Caenorhabditis elegans: one gene and its partners. The protein of the gene in region 2 purifies or fractionates together with the protein of the main gene of each other region. This does not show direct contact. Each region holds a gene or a part of one and is shown on either strand. Other genes may lie near its edges.

Region 1 (9,431 bases), on a different chromosome or scaffold from region 2:
GAAAGTTTAAACTTCCAAAAAATATGTGTTTGAAGTTAGCAGTTGAAGTATTTCCAAAATATTTTAAACTGTTTCAAGCATCCGTAAGTATATTAATTAAGAACTTTATCAGCACATATATATTTATATAGTTTATGTTAATTTAGTATATATTTTTTGCCCAGACGAGGTCAACTCAAAATTATCATTGCCTGTACTGATTGGCTTTTTATAATTTTGTTAATTTTGTTAAATAATAAACCAAAGTGTCTTCAAGCATTTATTTGTAAGCTATCCAAAAATCAGCTTGTCGATTACTGACAATAAATTTGATGAGATTCCTGGAATGCGTGTAGTTTTTGTTGAAGATTATGTGATCATAGCTTTATTATAAGATAGAAGATAAACTTCACTTTAATACTAATCATTCCTTATTCTTAAATCAACTCAAGTGGTAAAAATTATATCAGGTATGTCTCTAGTGAGCTTCCTTACTGCTATTTTGTTTCACAGCTTCAACACAACAAGTTTTTTAACAGAAGAAAATATATTCACAAAAATCTGACTCACCCATTCTAAACTGATTATATTTTTTGGCTAAACGAAGCTTCTTGATCCTTTTCTCAATGATCAAAGTTCTTTTACTGCTGCTTCTTTTCCTTCTTTTCTTCCTTGTTACAAATCCCTAAACATACATTTTGTATAATATAATTCCCACTTAGTGCAGATATGTAAAGATACAAATAAAGTTCAATGGATTTATGATCAACTGAGAATTGAAACAACTAGGTTGTTGCTTCCGCATTCTAAAAGTAAAATGAGCTTGAGAGCTGAAATTAGAGATTAATTACGCTGATTGTAAATAACATTTTCTCAAATTTCAGAAATAATCTTTGTTCACTTAACAATTTGAGAACTGGTTCAGATTAATTTAGAGAATTTGTTTTGAGGGAATATATTGTTACCGAGGACTTTTTAGACTGTCAGATTTCAGGCTAAGTTTCCGATAATTAACATTCTGTGCATTTTAAGCAACCATCCAAAAATAATATCAGTGAGCAACTTGCTGCTTTCATCATTTTTCACGTGTGAAACTTCAGTGCTTTTCAACCGGAAGAATCAACGCGAGATCAATTCGTCTTCTCTGCCAAAGAACGCTTCTTCTTTTCCGCACCGTCTTGAGCTCAAACAATCATTCACACATTTCCAACTCACCCATTGTTCACGTGCAAATAAGATGAACAAAAAATGAGGGAAAAGAAGCAAGTTTCGTGTTACGTGTATCTTCAAGAAGTAAACAATGAATTAGATGCGCAACCCACGTAAATCACAACAACGCTGCTACCCGAAAAGTATTTTCCGGAATTGTCCGGGTTACGGTCAAAAGAGTGAAACACATTTTCGAAAATAAAACGGTGTCAGATTACGGTGTCATGTTACTAGCCAGCATTAGACTGTCTAGGAGGATATGTGTGGCATTTTAGGAATAGAACACAAATCCCGGATAAATAGTGAATATGCATTTGGAGTATTTCAACAACACGAGCGTCACAATATATGTTGAAAAAAAATTACAAATTAATAAAAAATAAAAAATTAAAATAAAAAATTGAAATTTCTTTTTTTAAATTGTAAGCTTATCAAAATACAATTCGAGACGGAAACAGGTGATATGGGTATGTGGAATGCTCGTATGAATTACTGATCGAATAACGTAATATTCAAAAATAGAACTTATTTCTTAGTTTTCGTCTTCCATGAATAAACTTTGAATGAACTATTTCTGTCTAGAACATGAACAAAATCTTGGAATATTCATGAGTGAATTATTAGTGAAAAGTTCATAAAATGATATCGAGGATCTACAAGTGTGCATTTTATTTTTGCAATTGGCACGTATAGATTTTCAATGTTTCCAGCTGCACCACGTCACTACATAATTAATATCATAGGTGCACACCAAAATACTACTCTCTCACGATAATTGTTTCGTTTTCTGAATTGAAATAGACAAGAATCAATACAAATATTTAAGTTTTATGAACGCTTAGTTTTCTAAATATGTATTGAACCAGCTCCAAAAAAGAGTGAGGCAAAAATAATCCTGAATTATTTTTGAAGCTGAAATAAGCTTGAAGGTCAAAAGGGAATCACCCAAAGATAAATGAGATAAGAGTTGCAATAGTTGAGTAATCGGATGCAAGAGTAACAGAGAAACTACAGTAAAAATAGTAAATTTTGATAGTTACACTAAAATAGACAAGAGTGTAGGAGAAGCCGTCAATCTCGGGAAACAAAGATCACACGAGTACTCCTTTTCTTGTCAATCACAACGGTCATCGGTCAAAATGTTCTCAACTTCCTTCACTTTCTCTCCGTCTCCACTGTCTTGATTACAAAGAAGAATGGCAATCCTAAAAAAGGAAATGAAGCTTCTCCGTGTCTATCGGCAATGCATCATCATCACCTTCCCGTTTTGTTTCACATTTAATCCTCCCACATGCTCCACTGCCAGTCAAAAATCAGAAGAAGGCACCACTGGTGGGATAATGCGTTGTGTATTTACGGTTTTGCAACGTACACAGTCTCATTCTCGGACAATTGCGGAAGGCAACGAAATAACCAAATAACCCGGCAAGAAACATATTGTGGAGGCGAGAAATGTGTGGAACATGCTTACGCATTGTTGAGCATCAAATGATCACTTTTTGCGCATCTTGGCAATGACCAACTTGACTTGTTTTTTTTTGTTTGATGGCAAGTGACGGACTTTGAAAATGAATAGGTTGGCATTTTTTGAAAGAGAAAAAATCAAATGAACAATATGCAATTTCATCAAAAGAAATATTGTTTTTCTGCAGGGTGTTGAATTATGAAGGTACGAAGAAACACTTTTAGACATTACCAAGTTGGAAAAACGGGATTTAAGTAATATTTCAAGTTCCTTACTACTTACAAGTGTTTCCCGTGATAAAGTTTTATTTGATAGTTACTTTGTAATATTCAAAGAAATTGTGTAACTGGAAAAGTTTCTGATACTTGAATTGTAAATATATTCACAAAAAAAAACATATTCAATTAAATCCAAAAACAAATTCAAATGATTTAAGCTCAGACATGATCAACTACGTTTTTTCCCTGAAGAATTGTCGAACACTTGGAACATAAAATGTATACTGAAAACTTTAAGATCCCTCATTCCGGCAATGAAGACCACCGGCAACTTTTTGATCTGTCTAAATACGCGTACATCCCTTGAGACAACTTTTTGAATGGATCAAAATACATAGAGATTCCCACCCTGTACAAACATCGTATTGAGCACTTTAGACACTTTTTTCAGGCCGTGTCAAGGATCCACCAAAAATCCAAAATCTAGTCGTCAATTTCCGTCGGTCCTCGGACGACGATCCGATGCAAAAAGTTGATCCGTTTTTTTGCGTCTCCTCCATTCTTCGTCTTCTTCCTGTAAATTCCTTCCTGGTGCATCGAGACGGAAAGGAGGAGCATCCTACAATTTTTTGCCGCCTGATGGCTACCGCCGCGGCAACATGACAGACGTATATAAGACAGTGGCGGAAGGAAGCGGAGCACCAAAAGAGCACCTCCCTCACTGTCGTCGGCCAGCAGTACCGCCGAGAGGAGTTCTACGAATAAACGATATGAAGACGAACATTATATTATTACTTATAGTTATTGGATCATACCTTGTGGATTCAGAACAGGTAATTTTTGATATATTAAAAATAAAATAAAATTATACCTCTAATATCTCTCATCCATTTTCCTTATTCTACAATCTCTTATTCAACTTTTGAAAACGTAGTCCAAAATCTTCCTATGAAACATTTTCTCCCAATATCACTGTTTTTTTTTTATTTTTCTAGTAAATTTTTATTTTTCCAGTAAAAATCAATGCAGAAACACCGTATTTCCTTTTTCAACTTTTACAATCCCTTGCTTAAATTATGTAGCTCATATTTTGGTTGTCTTTATTTTTTGTTAAAAATGTGCAATTTTTCAATTATTTTTCTATAGTTGTGTAATTAGTAGTTTACAGTAATTGAAAAATAATTACGTTAGTTTCCCTGATCATCCCAATTTATAGCTAAACACTACGCGCCTACAGTATTTTCATTGCACATCCATGACTCTTTATAATCTCTCGATCTTCGCAATATCTTGTATTTTGACCGACTGATGACCTGTCTCGGCAAAGTGTTCCAAGTCTCGCCATTCTCAAGTGAACCATATCATATTTCATGTCCATGAGAAGGGTTCCGCCTTTCTATGACATTTTCCCACATTCACACATACAAATAACACAAGAACAAATAAACCGGTGCCATGTCGCAAATTCAACAAACAATGACCTGTCGCTCACTTGATTATCACGTCTGACTCATGTTAATATCCCATACATTTTAGAGCTTGATTACACGAGCCAAGCGACAATGCCCGTGTGCGCAACTGTCACAAAAATCGAAATGCAATTGTTATCCGATTGGGAGTGGAATGCAACGATGCAAATGCTCAAATGAGCCACAATCAAGCGGATGTTCTTGTGCCAATAAGGCAAGTCTTTGTGGAATGGAATTGTAGTACAAGTCTGAAATTTCAGGCTCAAACATCGGTATGCCAACCATCATGTCAAAAGTCTTGTGTAGATTCTTGTGTAAGGAACTCCCATCAGCCACAGCTTCTTTGTGATAAGACATGTCAATTTACATGCAATAAGGCATGCACTCCATCTACATCAACGAGCTCATCGTCCAATTTTCCACCAATTAAGGCACTACTTTACCATTCTTTGAACCCAAATAAAATAATATAATTACAGGTAGTTGTAAACCAACAAACCAAGGCTTCTCAATGCCCACAAGCCTGTGCTCAATCATGTGCCAACAGTTGCACAGCTCAGCCAAATAAATCTTATTGCATTGATATGTGCATCAAATCTTGCCAACCAACATGCGTTCAAGCTGCTGTATCTATAAATGTCAAAGAATTCATGCGTACTTCGGTCTGAACGACCAATTTTCACAACCAAAAAAATATTCAATTTTTCAGACCACAACCTTAGCCCCATCAAGATCATGTGTCTCTGCTTGCCAACCAACATGTGACGCTCAGTGTATTAATGTCATGAAGCGGTATGAAGTGATTATTCAAAAGATGCCACTTGCCCAGAAATGTCCCTCCCAGTGTCAGCCAACCTGTTCTCCACAATGTATTCAATCGGTCACTGTTTCTATTCAAACTACAGCTCAACCAACAACAGCTTCCTGCATTCCGGCTTGTCAACCAGCGTGCACTCCACAATGTGTTCAAGCAGTTACCACGACAGAAACATGTATCCCGGCCTGCCAACCCGCTTGTCAACCACAATGTGTAGAGAGACAGCTTCAGATTCAGATCGTAACTTCTCAAGCAACACAAGCAACTCGTGCTCCTGAAACATGCATTCCAGCCTGTCAACCAGCTTGCCAGCCACAATGTGTTTATCAGTATCTTTCTTCGGGGTCTTCAGGCATTTCAACAGTTCCACCAGTAACCAAAGTGTGCATCTCAATCTGTCAACCAGCTTGTGATCCAGGATGTGTTGCTATTTACACGACGACTCCAGCCCCACTTCACTGCGTTTCTCAGTGTCAGCCAGCTTGTCTTCCATCTTGTACTGACACCTTTACTACAACTATCTCGCTTCCAAAACAATGCGTCCCAGAGTGTCAGCCAGCTTGTGAGACTAAATGTATTGTTGCTCAAATTGTGCTGAAGATCAAGAACAGCTATCAACAACCTCAGCAACTGTCTCAACAGTACATCCCACAGTCTTCTTGTGTTCCACAATGCCAACCAGCATGTACTCAGGAATGTGTAGCTGCTCAGCCAAACTTCTCGGTTCAAATTAATATGATTGATGAAACCCCTTCAACCTCAACTTCTTCTCCACAATGTATTCCTCAATGCCAACCATCATGTGATCAACAATGCATTCAAACTTACAAGATTCAAGTACAACAAATGAATTCTCAACAGAAACAGCAACGTCAGTATAATTGTGTTCCCGCTTGTCAACCAACTTGTGAGCAATCTTGCATTCAGTCTCAATACCAAGTTACTATACAACAAAGTTACTCCAAAGGGAATCAAGGAAATAGCTGTCCATCAGCATGTCAACCGGCCTGCGAACCTCTTTGTGTACAACAAATCACTGTTCAAACAACCGTTCCAATCACAAAGACCTGTGTTCCACAATGCCAACCGGCTTGCACTCAAGAGTGTGTCCAGCAGGTAAATATGATATAAAATTTGAAGAAAAAACAACACAACAGGAAAAGTTTAGAACTGTAAATAAACATAAATTAAAATTATAATAACCACCATAGTTTTTTTCTTTTCAGGCAACTACCTACACTATCTCCATTCCAATGACTACTGCAGCCCCATCATGCGCTCCACAATGCCAACCAGCTTGTGATCCACAATGCATAAGCTTCACTCTTAAACTTCCAGTAATGACCACTCCACCCCCGACGCCATCTTGCCAGCCACAATGTCAACCAGCTTGCCAACCATCTTGTATGGAGACATACACATTCACGATCCCAATGAATGATCAGAGCTCCAAGCAGTGTGCTCCAGCTTGTCAACCTGTCTGTGATTCAAAGTGTATTCAAAATTATCAATTTGAAATTGTAATTCCACAGGTCAGAAAATTTAGAACTTTCTGCAAAAACTGAAGATTTTTAGGCTGACAACAACTGTATGCCAGCTTGCACCCAATCTTGCCAAACTTCATGTGTTCAACAGAACAGCCAAAGTGTTCCACAATGCAGCACAGCTTGTACTGACAGTTGTAGATCATCTTGCGTTGAAGTACTGTAACTGAAATATCAGCTGATAGAGTTCTGCTTGGCAAATTGTTAAAATATCGTTGTTTTTTTTCAGATCGTGAAGGAATCTGCAGAACCAACTTTCAAATTGGAAATTGTTCTTAAAAAACCAATGGAAGAAACTGTGACATGTGCTCCACAATGTGCTAATCAGTGCGTTGATCAATGTAAAACTCAACTTCTGACCCAAATTGAATTCTGTCTGCCAGCTTGCCAGAACGCCTGTCAACAGAACTGCCCGTTGCAAGTCGAACCATGTGCAATGAGTGGTTCACAATGCAATTGTTCAACTGGATTCTCACTTTGTGGAAATAACCAATGCTGCAGAAAGAGAAGACGATAGATCCATTCAAAAGGAAACAACCTACCTACGCACATTATTGCCATAATTTTAATTTTAAAGCGAAAAAAGTGTATTTTATTTATCATACATCAATAAATATTTATGAATATCATATAGTGTTCTAGAATAAAATATATTTTGAAATGAAAGTGAATATAATCAAAAATAAAAGTGAAGAAGAGTTCGAGGATCCGGTAACGAGACACCATTGATCAATAGGTTGATCTGGTTTTAAATTGTTTGCAATTTGATTCAACACATTCATTGAACAGTAATCTCCTCCACATCCAGTAATCTCCTTCGTCATCACAGTAAAGTCATCTCCAGATTGTTTGTGGTAAACCAGCTTCAAAACTTAGATATTACAATATTGCTTTACCGAACAAACCTACCTTAAAATAGTCAGCGTTATCAGTAGTATTTCTCCAATATTCAACCGATACGGCAGCGGAATAAAGTGGATATCCGTGAGGTTTAATAGCAAATCGTTCGATGCCAAGAGCTACTAGCACTGCGTATACGGTCTCATCGTGCTGAAAAAAAATGTTTAATGTAATAATTCAATTGTGAATAACATGTACAACTAAAAAATTTCCAGAAGCTTCTTAAGGTTACTACCAAAAAACCCACAGCTGAATAAACGAAGTACTTGAGTCCATTTATCCAATCACACCCTTGTGTATTTTTTCCATATGTACAATCACTTTTCTTATTAATTCTATCCATCATATCATTCATAAGAGGTCCGGATCGTACTTTCAGAAGCTCAAGGCCAATATTCATGTTGTTCATATTAATAGTACTATCTGAAAAATTATTACATACAATGTTCTTAGAAAAACAACGTACTGAATACTCCGTATTGATACATATAAATTTGATCATTTACTGCCACAATTTGACTATAAAAATCATCATTGAACCATGTATTCTCTTTTCGAAGTGATTCATTAAAATATATTTGTTCAATGAATAAGGCATCCGGGACAGTCCAGAAATCTTCTAGACTCCATGTTTGATTAACCAGTGACGTTAGTTTGTCGATTACTGATGAAACTGGTACTGAGCTTCTCCAGTTCTTCATTTCGTCCGATTGTTGAGCAATATTCCAGAGCCATTCACGACGTGGGCAGATGCAGTCCATATTTCCAATCTAAAACAACTGCTTCTGATTAAATATAGTTTTAAAGTTTCCGATCTAGTCTAAATAGTACAATAGTCTAATATGTCGAAATTTCATAATAAGACACACCAATTCAAAGTTTTGGTAAATTGCCAAATTTTCCAACAGTACGGATTTTTTGAGTAATTCCGAGCATTGTTGTAGGTTAGATTCCCTAGAAAGTTTGAATACAAATAATTGAAACGCAATTAAAAAATAAAACTTTTAGAAATGTGTTTTATTCACTTCCAAAATTAAGATAGCCTGACTACGATATTTGGGCATTATTGCGTGGAGCGATGTAAAATACTTTCTATACTTCACCTTTATTCTCCAATTTTTTATTGATTCAAATAGCCCAAAATCTCACATGATCACTGTCATAATCAACGGTATGAACTGGAATAGGAACGAAGCCACGTGGCCATCCCTGAGCATCTGGAAAATCAGTTCCAGCCGAGCTACCGTAGCCGTCTTGTCCATACATTCCGAGCATATTTGAAGTGGCTGAGATCAAAGTTCGATTGATTCCCGTAGATCGTATGTACATTGTTTTTTGATCATAGACTGCTGGTAAGAAGTTGTGGGTGGAGTTTCCTGTGTTGACATAACGATTGCGAAGCTTCTTTCCAAGAGTTAAATGTTGATTCATTCCGAGCTGAAAGGTATCCAAAACAACTATATTAACTCCATATGAACAATCATTACCGGTGAAAGCTGTCCCCATCCTCCACCTCCAAATGTCCAACTATCCTCTTGGAATGGATCCACGTTAAATGTAGTCGTAGGTGATCTATCTCCATGCCTCCAAACCTTTTCAAAAATCGTAACACTAGATTCCAAAACATTATAAAACCTACGATATGAACCATTTTCAACTCCATAACTCCATCTTTCGCAGGTGAAATATTTGTTGCGATTGCCAGATTCCATGCTATTATTATTATTATAAATTGTAGCATGTCACAAAGAAATGGGGTAATGAGTGTAGATATTAATACGAATACGGGGAGAAATTAAAACTAAACTAATTTTCAGATTCAGAGCAAAG
Region 2 (6,596 bases):
CCAGCTCTAACATCAATGGATCAGCTTCTCTATCAGTTGCAAATCATTCTGGCGAATCTATGAGCCACTCAGCTTCAAGTGCATCTCTCGCTGAAGTCTCCGAAGTGAAGAAACAAGCTCGTCTTACACTCCGAGCCGTCATTTCCTTTGTCTTCAATACATGTAACCAATCTTATGATGCCTATCCACCAACGTTCATTCCAATGTTACCTCTCTGGTGTCATTATTCAAACGATGTTGGAGATGAGGAACTACAAAAGACATGTGCTGCTCTATGTGTTGGACAAATGGAGGCCAACTACATTTCTCCGGAAAATGCGCCAGAAGTTATTCGACAATTCCAACAACTTCTTTCGTCTCCCTGTTGGTGGAAATCAAAGGTTGCTGCCTTGAAAATGCTCCGAATGCTTGTGTTCTCCAACAGATTTGTATTCAGGATCCATCGTGATGATATCGGTAGGTTGAAACATCATTTGGGATTTCAATTTTTTTTAATGTTTAAAATAAATTTTATTTTCAGGTATGATCCTCGTCAACTCACTCAATGACAATCAAATCGAAGTTCGTGAAAGAGCGACAGATGCCCTAAGTACACTTCTTCAAGCTAAATTCTTCGAGACAACACCAGAACTTGTTACCAAATTCAGTACAGCTGCCCATTCAAAAGATCAAATTCAAGGGCATGCTGGTGTTCTCGGATTGTCAGCTATTGTGCTAGCTTTTCCATACTCTGTTCCAGAGTTTCTCCCGGGAGTCCTAATGACTATTTGTCGGTTTGCCACTGACAAGAGTGCCACAATACGGGTAAATTCGATAGTTTTTAAAATTTCATCGAATCGTTTTTTTTCAGGAAGCTGTAAAACGTACTCTTTCGGAGTTCAAACGTACTCATCAAGATTCGTGGCGTGAGCATGAGCAACAATTCAACGAGGATCAACTCATGGTGCTCCGAGATTTGCTCATTTCTCCCAATTACTATGTCTAGAATATCTTCCGATAGTGATAGTTCGTAGTAGCGCTGTGTTGTGTGTACGTATCTCCGAACGCTTTATCATTTTGCATTTCGCCGGTTTTTTTGTCTATTTTCCTCTCCCGTTTATATTTTCCATTTCGAAACGGTGTTCTCACATTTCCCATTCTCCTGTTTGTACCCCCCAGTCTCTTCCTCCCCCGTTCTATTTTATATATCTTGCCCCGAGTATTCACACTATCCCATGCCGTTTCCCTTTTGAACACATTGTTCTGTGCAGTTTATTTATTTTTTGCTAACTTCATCCCACAACCCTTTCGGAAGTTAATTTATATCCATTTTACCTTGTATACCACAATTTCATACAAATGAATCACTACGCCGAATAAATAAATTGAGATTTGGAGTATCTGATTTCGGGTTAATCTAAAAATTGTATTCGTATAGTGCGATTCCTGAAAGATTCCTGAAATAGCAGTTCAACTGAATATAAATTTTAAAATTAGTTTTCAGAAATGGAGAGAAGCACCAGAGCATGGATGTCAATAGTTGTAGTTCAAGCAATGGGAAGTGTATGGATGTGCTATGCAAAACAGAATTCTGCATCTCACTATACTTCAACATTGCCAGCTCTTTCTAGAGCTCATGCTCTTCCGTTGGCATTGCTTTGTATCTTGAGGTATTATTTCAATATTCAAAAAAGTTAAAAACAAGGAAGATTTCTGTTATTATTTTTCAGAATCGTTCTAATCTTCGACTTTCGTAACTTCTCAATTCACATTGCTCACATTCTGCTCTCAATCCTCACAGCCATCCATACAATGACTGAAGTATTCTTCTATCAATCTATGTCTTATGGAATTGTCACTGTCACAGAAGTCACTCTCAACAGTTTTTCAGTTGTTGTTATGCTAACTTTCCTACTCTCTCCATCATTCAAAAACGAACAAGAAGGAAAAGAAAAACGAGCTAGAAAAGTGACAGCAAAACACTATATGGAAGGAGAAATGCTTACTCCGGAAGATGACGATGAACTTGTTCAGGCGTACAAAAAATGGAAATAAGTGTTATAATGAATTATTTATGTACCATTTTATTTACTAATCATATTCTAAGTTTCTAAATGTATTGCTTTAATCTCGCCATAATTAATATAAGATCTCACATATGTATAACTTTGGAAAAGCTTTAATAAACAAAAATACTTTATTTGCTTCTTTTCATACATCGTTCGTCTCTAAAATCTTGGCAATCTTTCAATATTCATAAATTCACTTTCTTCCATATGTGTAATAATATGGATAAGTGTAATAGTACAGAGGTTGAGCTGCTGCTGCAACCGATCCTGTTTGTTGAACATTTCCAGATTGATCTCGTTGAACTGTTCCACTATATTGTTGATTTCCCTGTGCATATTGAGTCTGCTGTTGTTGAGGTTGTTGGGCATATATTTGTTGATTACTAAAATCTGTTTGTTGGGTGGCTGCTGCACCAACTGTAGCTGTAGGATAATAGTAATAGTATGGAGTATAATAGCTCGTTGGATAGTACAAGTGTTGCGCAGAGGCCACAGCAAGAAGGGAGAACAGAGCAAGGAAACTGAAAATTAAGCAATTGACGTTGAACGTATGAACAATAAACTTATCTCAAATCTTATGTTTATAAAAAATAAGTAATCAAGCTATTAAAAATTAAGCTATATATATAGCCCAATAGGGTACTGCTAAGCAACGTTTTCGTGAGTCATTAAAGTGTAGTTTCAAATTTTTCCGAGTTAACAATACAATAAAAAAAAGTTTCTATAGTTTGTGTGCTTGTTCACATGTTTCAGGCCACTGCTCAGTGGATGCTTACTCCAAAAACCCTGTGTTCTATATTGTCAGTTTGTCTGGGTCTACAGTAATACGTTTCAAAATTTAAACTAAATATCAAAACTATTATTTTAAAAAGATTCAATAAAACTAACGTTAAAATAACAATTCTAGATGAAAAACTGATTCACAAAAGCAAATTAAATTTTATATTAAATTTGAGACTCACGTCTTCATTTTGGGGAAAGTTATATTTAGAATGATTAAGTCCAGTGTGTCGTTACCATTTTATACTTACTCGCCACACTCCCAAATTCCATCAGTGGCTCCTACAAATCACCAAAAAACTAAAAATAGTTTGTTCTACACCTCTCTCCTCACATTCCATCTTCACACAAAGTAGTAGATCAAAGAAGCGCGAAATACTGAAAATCTGCAAATTTCTATCTTTTCACTTTTTCTGTCATTTTCTTGTCAACAACATGTTCTTGGGACTCCCGAAATACGCATGTACATCCTTGCTTTGTTTGCTATTTTTCAGAAACACAAAATGACTTACAAACAAAAAATGTAGTGTTTACCCGTGGTCTTTATCGTGGTTTCTTGTGGAATTGTATATTACTAATAAGATTGGAAACATGGGTTGACCATAAATTGATCACAGTTATTATTGATTCATATGACTTAGAAGGTATCCAAGGTTCAGAGATTGACTAAAATAATGTTTGCTAGATCCCTGTAGAAGTTTATCACATAAAAGTCACTAAACTCTTTATAATTTTGGTTCAAACCGTGAAAATGATCATTTTTGGCATAACAACGTTAGACCAGTTGAAAATGATTTTCCAGCCGTTTATTTACATGAAAAGTCGTCGAATTTTTCGTGCTCAAAGCTCAAAGTTTTCTGTTAAAAATTATTTAGTAATTATTAACTTCGAGCTTACTAGAAATTTGACCCATTGTTTAGATTCAGATGAGTCAGTTTTACAGATTTGTAATTTGATAATGTTATTACTATAGCCATTTAGCATCTTGCACTTTTAATTAAATATCAATCTAAGGTATCAATCTTGAGCCTTGATCATTATCACCATTATCAAATTGAACCGTTTTAGCTTGCCGCCAACTGCCATTCTCAATGAAGTCCTTTTGAAAGTCAACAAACTCAGAGTCTTGCTCTCTTTGCTTTCTCACTATTTCTTTTGATTGGGCTCTTTTCTCTTGACCTCGAGTTTACTCAGTAACTTTGTGGTTGGCATGGATGGAATAAAAGAAAAACATACAATCGTGGAGTTTTTTCGCAGTTTTTTTCGGAATGCAACTGATGATGACAGTATTGGGTTAGACACACCCATTGAAATAAGGTATAAAAATGATCAAACGAAAAATCTTCACCATTTCTGCTCACTTCAATCGAACGAAATGAACACGTAAGTTTTCTAGCAAACGATTTATGTTATCATTAGGTAGGATGTGCATCATTCATTCGTAAATTTTCAGCCTCCTTGCTCTTTGCTCACTTCTTGCTGTGGCTTCTGCCCAATACTTGTATTATCCAACAAGTTATTACACACCATACTATTACTATTATCCAACCGCTGCAGTTGCTGGTACCACTGGAGTTGCTCAGCAAACTCAGGCTGGTGGAGCTTCCCAACAAGCTTATGCTCAACAGCAACCACAACAAAACCAACAGTATGCTCAAGGAACCCAACAACAACAACAACAGTATTATCCACAACAAACGCAACAGGGTCAGCAACAACAAACTCTTCAATACCAACAAGGAGTTCAACAGCAACCAGTACAGTATGATCAATCAGGAAATACCCAACAGGTTCAATATGATCAATCATCCCAAATGCAGCAACAACCACAACAACAACAGCAATACACGCCTCAATATGATCAATCTGGAAATACTCAAAATCATCAGCAAGGAACTCAACAGACTGGAGCTGTGGCTGCTCAGCCACCTTACTACTATTATACATCTCCATACTATTATTATGCTTATGGAAGAAAATAGAAGAGTATTACGGAACTTGCCCAGCCCATCGTTGTTTCATATTATGATTTCATTCCTCACACTGCCTTTATGCGAACGAAAATAATTGAAAAAAAAAACAATAAATGATTCGAAATTTATGCGAAATGTTGTGTAAGAAAATATTTTTGAAAAAGCAGATTAATACCTGAAAATATTTCCAATTAAAGCAGTGGAATTGTCTTCGTGCCTACCTCGTGCCTGCCTACATCTCAACTGCTGGCTTATTTGTTTACCACATGCCAGACCAATCAGTTTGCACGAAATATTATTTTTGAACTATTAATAAGATACATTTGTTATATCTGTACAGCCTGACACTTTTTTAGAGCGATTATTTGGAGAGTATTCAACACCATCATATTTTGATACCTGAGTTTCAGCCAGCTTAACAGTTTTTTCATTAAAACCGAACACAAATTCAACGGCCCACTAGTTACTCATAACCTAAACATTGGCAGGTGTTCTCTTACATAATCTGTTATAAACAAATGGATCGTCTCAATTTCCAATCAGGTATCAATGACATAAACAAATTATTCACCCTCCACCGTGCAACTCCATTAATTTCATTTCATTTTCGCAACAAATGATACCTAACTTACAGTTATTTCTTTCATTAATACTATTCGGCTTATTAAATCATGTATCTTCAATTGACTATGAAGAAATACACATCGAAGATTCATATGAAACAAGGTAACGAATCCTTTAATTTTTTTTCAAAATTACGTCCGAAAACATTTCAGATCACGTATTCTAATGGTTGATGGAAATGTGTGGTTGCATGCCGGAAAGGATAAAAATATAACGTTCAAAACGACTGGAAATGGAAGAATATATGTGGACGAAACAGATGTTTCCAAACTTCCAGATATTGTAGGTAGACTGCTGAAATTATCCAAAAAAAAAATGAACGAGCTTCTACAAAACATTTATTTTTGATACGTTGCTTTGCTTAACACACAGATTTCTTATTTAGTAGAGGCTTATGCCGATGGTTTCTTGGCAGCTTCCACTTCAATAAATTTGATGAGATCAGCTCGTTCGTCAGCTTTCTTCAAACCAGCGAAGACCATCTGAAAATTTCTTATTAATACTCCATCGCACTTCCTAGAAAATCCTACCTTAGTTCCGGGGATGTACTTTTTCGGATCAGCCAAATAGTCGAAAAGTGTTTGTCTGTCCCATACAACTCCTTTATTCTTGTTGGCAGCCGAGTAGTCAAATCCAGCAACTTGTCCGGATTGTCTTCCAATCACTCCGTTCAATGTTGGTCCAGTCTTTGTTTGCAATGAGTTGACAACGTGACATTGCTCGCAACGTTGTTTGAAGATCTGAAAATCAATAGGTTTTCTGGGAACACTATAATGAAAAATTTAACTAACCTTCTTTCCTTTCTCATTGTCTCCTTCTGGAATAGCTCCACCGGATGCCGTATCAGACTTCTTCTTGCCCATGTTTCAAGAACTGATTAAAACATAGACGGTCAGATTAGAAAAAGGAACGAAACGTGGATTACGAGTAAGAGTTGGAATTAGATAGTCGGAGATCACGCAAAAATTTACTTTTTGACAACTATTTAAAAAGAATCACTTTCCTGAGAAACGGTCACGTAAATTTTGATAATTAAGTTCTATTATTTTTATAAAACTTTTCAAAATGAATAATTGTTTGAAAATGTTTGAACTATGGAAGTTTTTGAAAATTAACTCGAATTACAATTTTCAATATTCAAAATAATTTTCAGGCATCTTTCAAGCAACTT
Region 3 (6,732 bases), 1.8 Mb from region 2:
ACAGTAATACAAGCGAGTGCTTCGATGCGGGCCATGCTTCCAGTAACCAAGTTGACAGCTTCATACCTGAAAATAACGAGTTGAAATAAGTTATTAATTGAAAGTGTTGTAAATAGATGTTCTGAAATAATTTTATAAAACTCAAAAAATCACACACCGATCATGACGTCTGTTGCATTTAAAAGTCAATCCAGATTTGCTGCTTGCTGAGAGAACTGCATAGTCTCTAGTTTGAGTAAAGTCTGGTGAAGCTCCTCTTGATTTTCCGACAAGAATTTGAATCTGTGGATTTTCGCACACAGCAATTGCGTATTCTTTTCCATTACGATTGAAATAAGCAATCTTTGGAGCAGATAACAACGGGTTAGTTAATGGATTTGGCGAATTGAAAACACCAAGACGACGACATTCCCATTCTGGAAATATAAATGGTTGAAATTTAGATATCGTAAGTACTTACTCTCATCACTGTCTCTGCTGTTGCTACGAGAGTGATGACTGCGATGATGTCGATCATGTAAAACGTGGAAGTTATTATGATTATTGTAGGTGATGTCGCCGCCGTATCCGCTGCATGCAATCACTCCAAAAAGAGCGGAGATAGCTAGAAGATTCAGATGCATTTTCGGAATCGAATATGATAAAAGAAATATGGTGACACCTTTTATATAGCGTTTCTAGGCTCATGATACATTGAGAAATGTTTTGAGAATGAACCTAGTTTGTTTATATTAAAACATAGATACAAAATCTTGTCTCAAAAGAAAATTGATGACATCACAACAAAGAGAAAAAAGATGATTCATGAAATATAGTTAACTTCTGGAATAATGTGTGGAAAGTGAGAAGCGGGTGTCGACAAAATCAGAAAGTACAGAGCTTTAAAAAAATTTAAGGAATTAGGTATAATGATAAATTAGAGATGAAAATGGTACATTTGCATTAGTTAGTTACTTAGAAACTGGAATTTTATTAAAATAGTTTTTGTTTTTTATTGTTTCTCATGAATTAATTTTGTGGCTTCTAGGTGTTTATAAAAAATAATTGTCCTCAATAGGAGAAATAATTAAAAGTTTAGTTCAGATGCTGAAACCTATGAACCCATTAACACCACAAATTTCGTCATTACATCTTCAAAAAGGCTGAATTTGAATGATGCATGCGAATGGCTACGCGGGATATAAAGTTTGAAATAATTTTCAAGCAAAGTTTCTTCATTTTCTCTGCATTTGTTTTTCAATTTATCCTCTTATGCCACTGTATGTACCATTAACTACGTCTTCCTTCCCATCTTTATCCATCTACAATGTTTCTATATATTATGTTTCAGTTATTAGATTCTGGTCTCCGATTTTGTAAAATGCTCTAACAGACTAATGTTTGAAAAATTAAGTCTTAGCCAATCGCAGTGTGTATAAACTCTGAAAACTATCAGACATACAGTTTGATATTATTCATTTTATTTTCATTCGGATATCCGTCTGAATAGAATTGAAACTTTTGGAAAAAACAAAATTCGTTCACAAAACATCCATCTTTGTGACGTGATGTTTTATGTTTTCCCTCTGATTTCTTTCTATAAAAACCTTTACAACTCCACAAAGAACATCATTCACCAAGATGTTAGTTGTTCTTGCTATCTCTTTGGCAGTTACCGCAGTTTGTGCTCAATACGGATCAGGACCAGCCAATAATCCACCGGCTTCTTCCTATTCATCAAATGTTTACTATCCACCTCCGGTTTATGGATCAGTGTACTGGGATTACGATAGTGGAAGTCGTGAACATCGTCATAAACGTAAACCGTAGTCCATTAATAAATAAACATCTTACCAATTTCAGAGTGCCCACGTTTGAGAGCATATGTGGGTGAGTTCCCTGGTATCCCTGAGGAAGCATTCTATCCACCAATCATTCGATATGTCAAATACAACAGAAAAGTGACTGCTCTTGTTGTCTGTGATAGAGATGAAAAGAATTTGAACTTCCTTTTCGGTTAGTTATCTCGAACTATTCAAAGTAGATTAGTGATTGTATTTAACTATATCCAGCTCGTCACAACAAAACTCGTGATGTCCGTTCTGCCAGTGTTGTCGCTATTGGAAGCACCGCCGGTGTCACTCTCGTTTGTAATCGCGATGACAGAAGATATGAGGGATTTGTTATTGATATGAATGCAACTACAAACGGATTCTCTAAGAAAATCGAAATCACGCAACTCACTTGTCTTGGACTCGACAAAACTATTATTGGTCTTCCTGTGGAACACGGAGTACAACAACTGGCGCAAAAGATTCAGGAAATTTTGGAAGATGACTTCTTCGTTCCAGTTATTCCGTCGAGAAGGAAGAGACAAGCTGGTGGAGCAACTGCTAACAGCGCTGAATCCACGACTGAAGCAGCTGACACCGAATCCACAACTGAAGCCGCTGCCACCGAAACTCCTGCCGCCGAATCTACCACAACTGAAGCTTCCGCTACTGACGCTGCCGCCACCGAAGCTTCCGCTACCGATGCCGCCGCCACCGAAGGTGCTGTCACCAAAGCTGCTGCCGGAGTTACAGAAGAATCAGCTACGGAAGTGATCACTGTAGCAACAACACCAGCTTCACCAGATGCGGCGCTTAATAATGCTATTAACGAATTGGGAAAAATTCTCGGTCAAGTTTTCTAAATGCATTTCGATTTTAATTGTTTAATATGTCAATTGATTATTGAATAAAAGTCAATGAAAGCTAAAGTTATTTATACAATTTTCAGAGAATGTAAGAAAATTATAATATGACCACTAGAATCATTTAATATTCGGACCTAACTTCGTACCTAATTTTCGCCCGAAGGAAAAAATCTTGGTTAGGTAAAATATAATAGACCTTATATGTACTTGCGATCGCAGCAATAGCTTTTCCATTTTCACCAAAAGTTTTCTTGAAGATTATCAGCTTTTTAATGGTCGCCACCGGGGAAATGTTAAAAATGCCTCTTATAGTGCGAAACTGCCTAAAAGAGATAGAACAATAGTCTACATTTTTTTTGAATTCCCATTTTGCCACAAAGTTGCCTGAAAATTTTAAGTTAGCAAAACGATATTGAATAATTTTTAGGTAAAATCTACATATACTGAGAATTATGAACTTTTAACCGTTTCATTTTTGGACAAAATATGGTCGCGTTTAAAATTGAAAAATTAAAAATTAATATTCACAGCTATTATTATTTTAGATTTATTTGTAAATAATATGCAACGTTCTCATAAAATATTAAATCAATACGACTATATATTTTGCAGTCATTGATCACCTTTTAAAAGTTATCTTCAAAATGTTTCATGAAAATGTGATTGTTGTCTTCTTGTAGCCAAATGTTAAATTCACAGCTGTTTTTTTGAAGGAGGTCAACTCAGCCGACGAGCCATCGTCTTCTCTCCATTTTTGTCCTTCTAGGTAAACACGAGGCAAACCACAGTGGAGAACATAAGAACAGATAGACGATTGAAGAAAATTTCTTTTTCAAATGCGTTGACGGGTTTTTTCAAACTTTTTTGTTTTTCTCTCTCTCTCCAAATTCCGAACACAACTGTTAACCTGATAACGAATATTTAATTTCAGCCCAATGGGATGCATCTTGTCTTGTAAAGAAAAACCCAAAGCAAAGTTAAATCAAAACATAAACATACCAACGCAAATTCGGAGGACAGATACATTTCCACAAGAGATGGCAGAGATCAGAATGCAGGCCAAACACGTGCATTTTTCGGTTAGTTACTTTTATTGATTAGGATATCGGAAATAACACTTGTTTCAACTGTAGTAACTAGAAAGTAAGGAAAACGACTTTTTTCTATGATAAAATGTGATCGTTGTGTTTTGACCAAGGTGAATAGCATATCGATCAAATAACCATCTTGATGGAAGGCATAAATATCTTGTTTCTTTTCTTTTGATACGATTATACTTGAATCTCATTTTTATTTTACATACGACTCTTTTTTTATGCAACTTGATTTACGATTATTATAACCGCCGTTTGCAAATTTTGAACAACCGAGAAAGTGGGAAATTTATAATTTCAAAAAAATGTATTTGCTTACCGTCAAAAAGTTTCAAGAAGTTCTAGCAGAAAAATTTAGAAACATCTCATAAAATTTTATGTTGAACTTATTTTTTCATTCTTAATTTTAAAATGTGGTGATGGGTAAAATATGCGACAGTGTTTTTCCAAATTTCCTGAATTTTTTCATAATGATTTTTAACCTTTCTGGTATATTTTTAAAATATGCAAATAAAATCCCCACTTGTTTTATCTTCAGTCAAAACCAGAACCAAAGATTTGAAAATGATAGCGGCATTTCACAAAAATCAAAAACACCTGTAATTTTGCAAAAGTCTAAACTTTGATGCAACAAAAATCGCCTAACCATTGCTGGATAGCACTTATATTTCAGTGATTCATTGCAGAATGAAGCAGTTCTGATTCCAAATGAACGTCAGGGAGAATTGAAAATTGTGGAAATCCAGGAAGTTTGCACATTTCGAAGATGTTTAAAATGAAGTAGAAACTAATTATTTATGTTACCAATTTTTATGTGATTACTGTATGTATTAATATATATTGAAAATTATTTTATCAAGTTGCATTTAACAAAAAAAATGAGTACAATCATTCAATACGTATTTTACCAAATACTTTGCTGTGCTTGTGTTCCAACGGTTGTTCTCCATATTTGTTGAGAACCATTTGCAGTTCGTTTCGTACTGACGTGGAATATTTGGAAAGTTGCTTCACGATATGGAGTATGCACAAAAAGCATTGTCAGCGTTGATAGAATTCCATGAAGTGCAATTCCAAAAAGTGCAAAATTTGTGGCAGCTAAAAAATATCATTAAATCAGTTCAGTTTTGAGCGAAATCTTTCATACCCTGATTATAATAGTTGAACCAAATTGCCAAAACTATGTATAGAACGGGAAATGATAACACAAAAATTGGTATGAATACTTGAATGCATAAAGCAAAGAAAAATTGTTTTTGGAGGCGATTTGTAACCTGTGATTTTGAAACAGTGTGGTAGAGATACCAAAAAATAGAAAGAACAAAATATAAAGCTTGAGGAATGATGAGTGAAAACATGAAAATAAGGCAAAGGCAAGGAATTGTATTCACGATTGATAGTACAAAATAACCAGGTCGATTTATGACATCTTTTGGGATACATGGAATCTCCTGAAATATAATTGTTAGAATAAAACGTTGAATTAGCGGTTCAAAACTCTATCACTATAAATTGCATATAAAGTTTTTTGAACTCGATAGTTTTTGAATTGTTGAACGTTTTTTATTGCCGCTCCCCTTTGATACAGACTATGGGTAGATTTCATATTCGTTTCATATTTGGTAACGACGAACCAACCTGTTGAACAGTAGCTCTTCCTTGTAGTTGATCCGGAATGTTCATATATCCCGGTGCAATAAAAGTGACCGAAATAATATAATGAATAATTGAATACAGAACACGTTTCCAGTTTCTAGCACCATTCGAAATGTTACTATTAATTAAACGGTGATGACGGTCTTCAAAAAATAATAAAATTGTAACAGCTATCACTGAAAATAAGTTGTTTTCAGGTATTACTAATCCTTCTTTAGACTAACCGCCAACAAATGAGATACCTAAATAAACTTGAACATCTGTTGGAATTCCTAAAACTAATGAAAATCCAAGTGGATATCCTGAACAAACAGGAAGAGTCAACACTGGAATTGCAATAAAACTAAGATAAAAATCTACAAATGCTCCAATACAATGAAGTGCGAGCATACTTGCTTTAACTGTTCTCATTTTTCTTGGTGTCTTCGCAACAATAATATATGCACCAAATAAATGAATCGGTAATTCTATTGAAGTAAGAACATGTAGGACTCCAGAATAAAATTCATCAGTTGCAAAAAAGCTTATATTTTGTGAGCACATATGAGTTATACAAAGACAAATGAACTCATGAAAAGAACGAGTATCAAAAGTCTTGAATATGAATACTTTCAGCTGCTCTATTGCTCTGGGCACTGCGTGGTTTCTGATTGAATTTGACTGGTCAGAATTGTATTAGCTGATTAAAAATCTGTTCAATTTCCTTTTAATTTTAATGTTAATCTCAAAGATCTTTATTCAAATATTAGCTTGCGTTTTTAGCAAAAATTTTGTGTTCACCAACGGTAATCCAAACTTGAGATCTATTCACGGGCAGTGTTTTATTGGATATTAAACAATTGAATATACTTGAAACAGTTTCTCGATATGGTTTGTGAACAATGAGCATTGTTATAGTTGAAACTATTCCATGAAGTGCAACCAGAATAACGCAAATATTTGTGGCTGCTAAAATATCAAGATCGTGTATCTTTAATTTTAAATAAAATACAATAAAATAAGTACCTTGGTTAACTTGATTTTTTATAATCATAATAACCAGAATTGACATAGGAACAAAAAACACGAATATAGGTATTGTTACTTGAATTCCTAGAGCTATTATCAATTGTTTTTGCATTTTATTCACAACTTTTGATCTCGAAGATGAGTTTTATGACATCTGCCATACAATGGAAATAGCAAAAAATAAACCTTGAATCATCAAAAAAGAAGCCATTAATGAAACACAAAGTGCAGTAAGAGTTGCATCTACAGCAAGGATAAAAAACCAGGTCGATTGAAAACATTAAATGGAAAACTGGG

What was found.
Region 1: the proteins of ZC116.1 (region 2) and appg-2 fractionate together in Caenorhabditis elegans (co-fractionation; one large-scale study listed by BioGRID). This does not show direct contact.
Region 3: the proteins of ZC116.1 (region 2) and D1054.19 fractionate together in Caenorhabditis elegans (co-fractionation; one large-scale study listed by BioGRID). This does not show direct contact.

Annotation. Positions count from the first base shown.
Region 1 is NC_003280.10:8,797,561-8,806,991, forward strand, and holds appg-2 (Activated in Blocked Unfolded protein response), read left to right. Parts: upstream 1-3,569; 5' UTR 3,570-3,641; coding exon 3,642-3,704; intron 3,705-4,407; coding exon 4,408-4,554; intron 4,555-4,600; coding exon 4,601-4,771; intron 4,772-4,819; coding exon 4,820-5,002; intron 5,003-5,049; coding exon 5,050-6,273; intron 6,274-6,383; coding exon 6,384-6,689; intron 6,690-6,732; coding exon 6,733-6,858; intron 6,859-6,930; coding exon 6,931-7,218; 3' UTR 7,219-7,329; downstream 7,330-9,431. Other genes in the region: pho-13 (intestinal acid PHOsphatase), read right to left, coding at 7,340-7,564, 7,611-7,751, 7,849-8,024, 8,068-8,371, 8,751-9,038, 9,089-9,193, 9,241-9,342.
Region 2 is NC_003283.11:12,605,930-12,612,525, forward strand, and holds ZC116.1 (Prion-like-(Q/N-rich)-domain-bearing protein), read left to right. Parts: upstream 1-3,896; 5' UTR 3,897-4,038; coding exon 4,039-4,211; intron 4,212-4,281; coding exon 4,282-4,810; 3' UTR 4,811-4,928; downstream 4,929-6,596. Other genes in the region: psme-4 (Proteasome activator complex subunit 4), read left to right, coding at 1-456, 521-804, 851-985; erg-28 (putative ergosterol biosynthetic protein 28 homolog), read left to right, coding at 1,486-1,649, 1,710-2,034; ZC116.5 (Conserved secreted protein), read right to left, coding at 2,242-2,569, 3,011-3,018; cubn-1 (Cubilin homolog), read left to right, coding at 5,418-5,527, 5,578-5,707, 6,579-6,596; cyc-2.2 (putative cytochrome c 2.2), read right to left, coding at 5,818-5,907, 5,956-6,165, 6,217-6,288.
Region 3 is NC_003283.11:10,792,188-10,798,919, forward strand, and holds D1054.19 (Ragulator complex protein LAMTOR5), read left to right. Parts: upstream 1-3,606; 5' UTR 3,607-3,612; coding exon 3,613-3,756; intron 3,757-4,006; exon of another isoform or gene 4,007-4,051; intron 4,052-4,457; coding exon 4,458-4,550; 3' UTR 4,551-4,630; downstream 4,631-6,732. Other genes in the region: D1054.10 (DUF1525 domain-containing protein), read right to left, coding at 1-66, 158-416, 461-623; ule-3 (Uterine Lumin Expressed/locailized), read left to right, coding at 1,621-1,798, 1,843-1,995, 2,052-2,674; srh-184 (Serpentine Receptor, class H), read right to left, coding at 4,676-4,869, 4,919-5,222, 5,410-5,603, 5,652-5,970.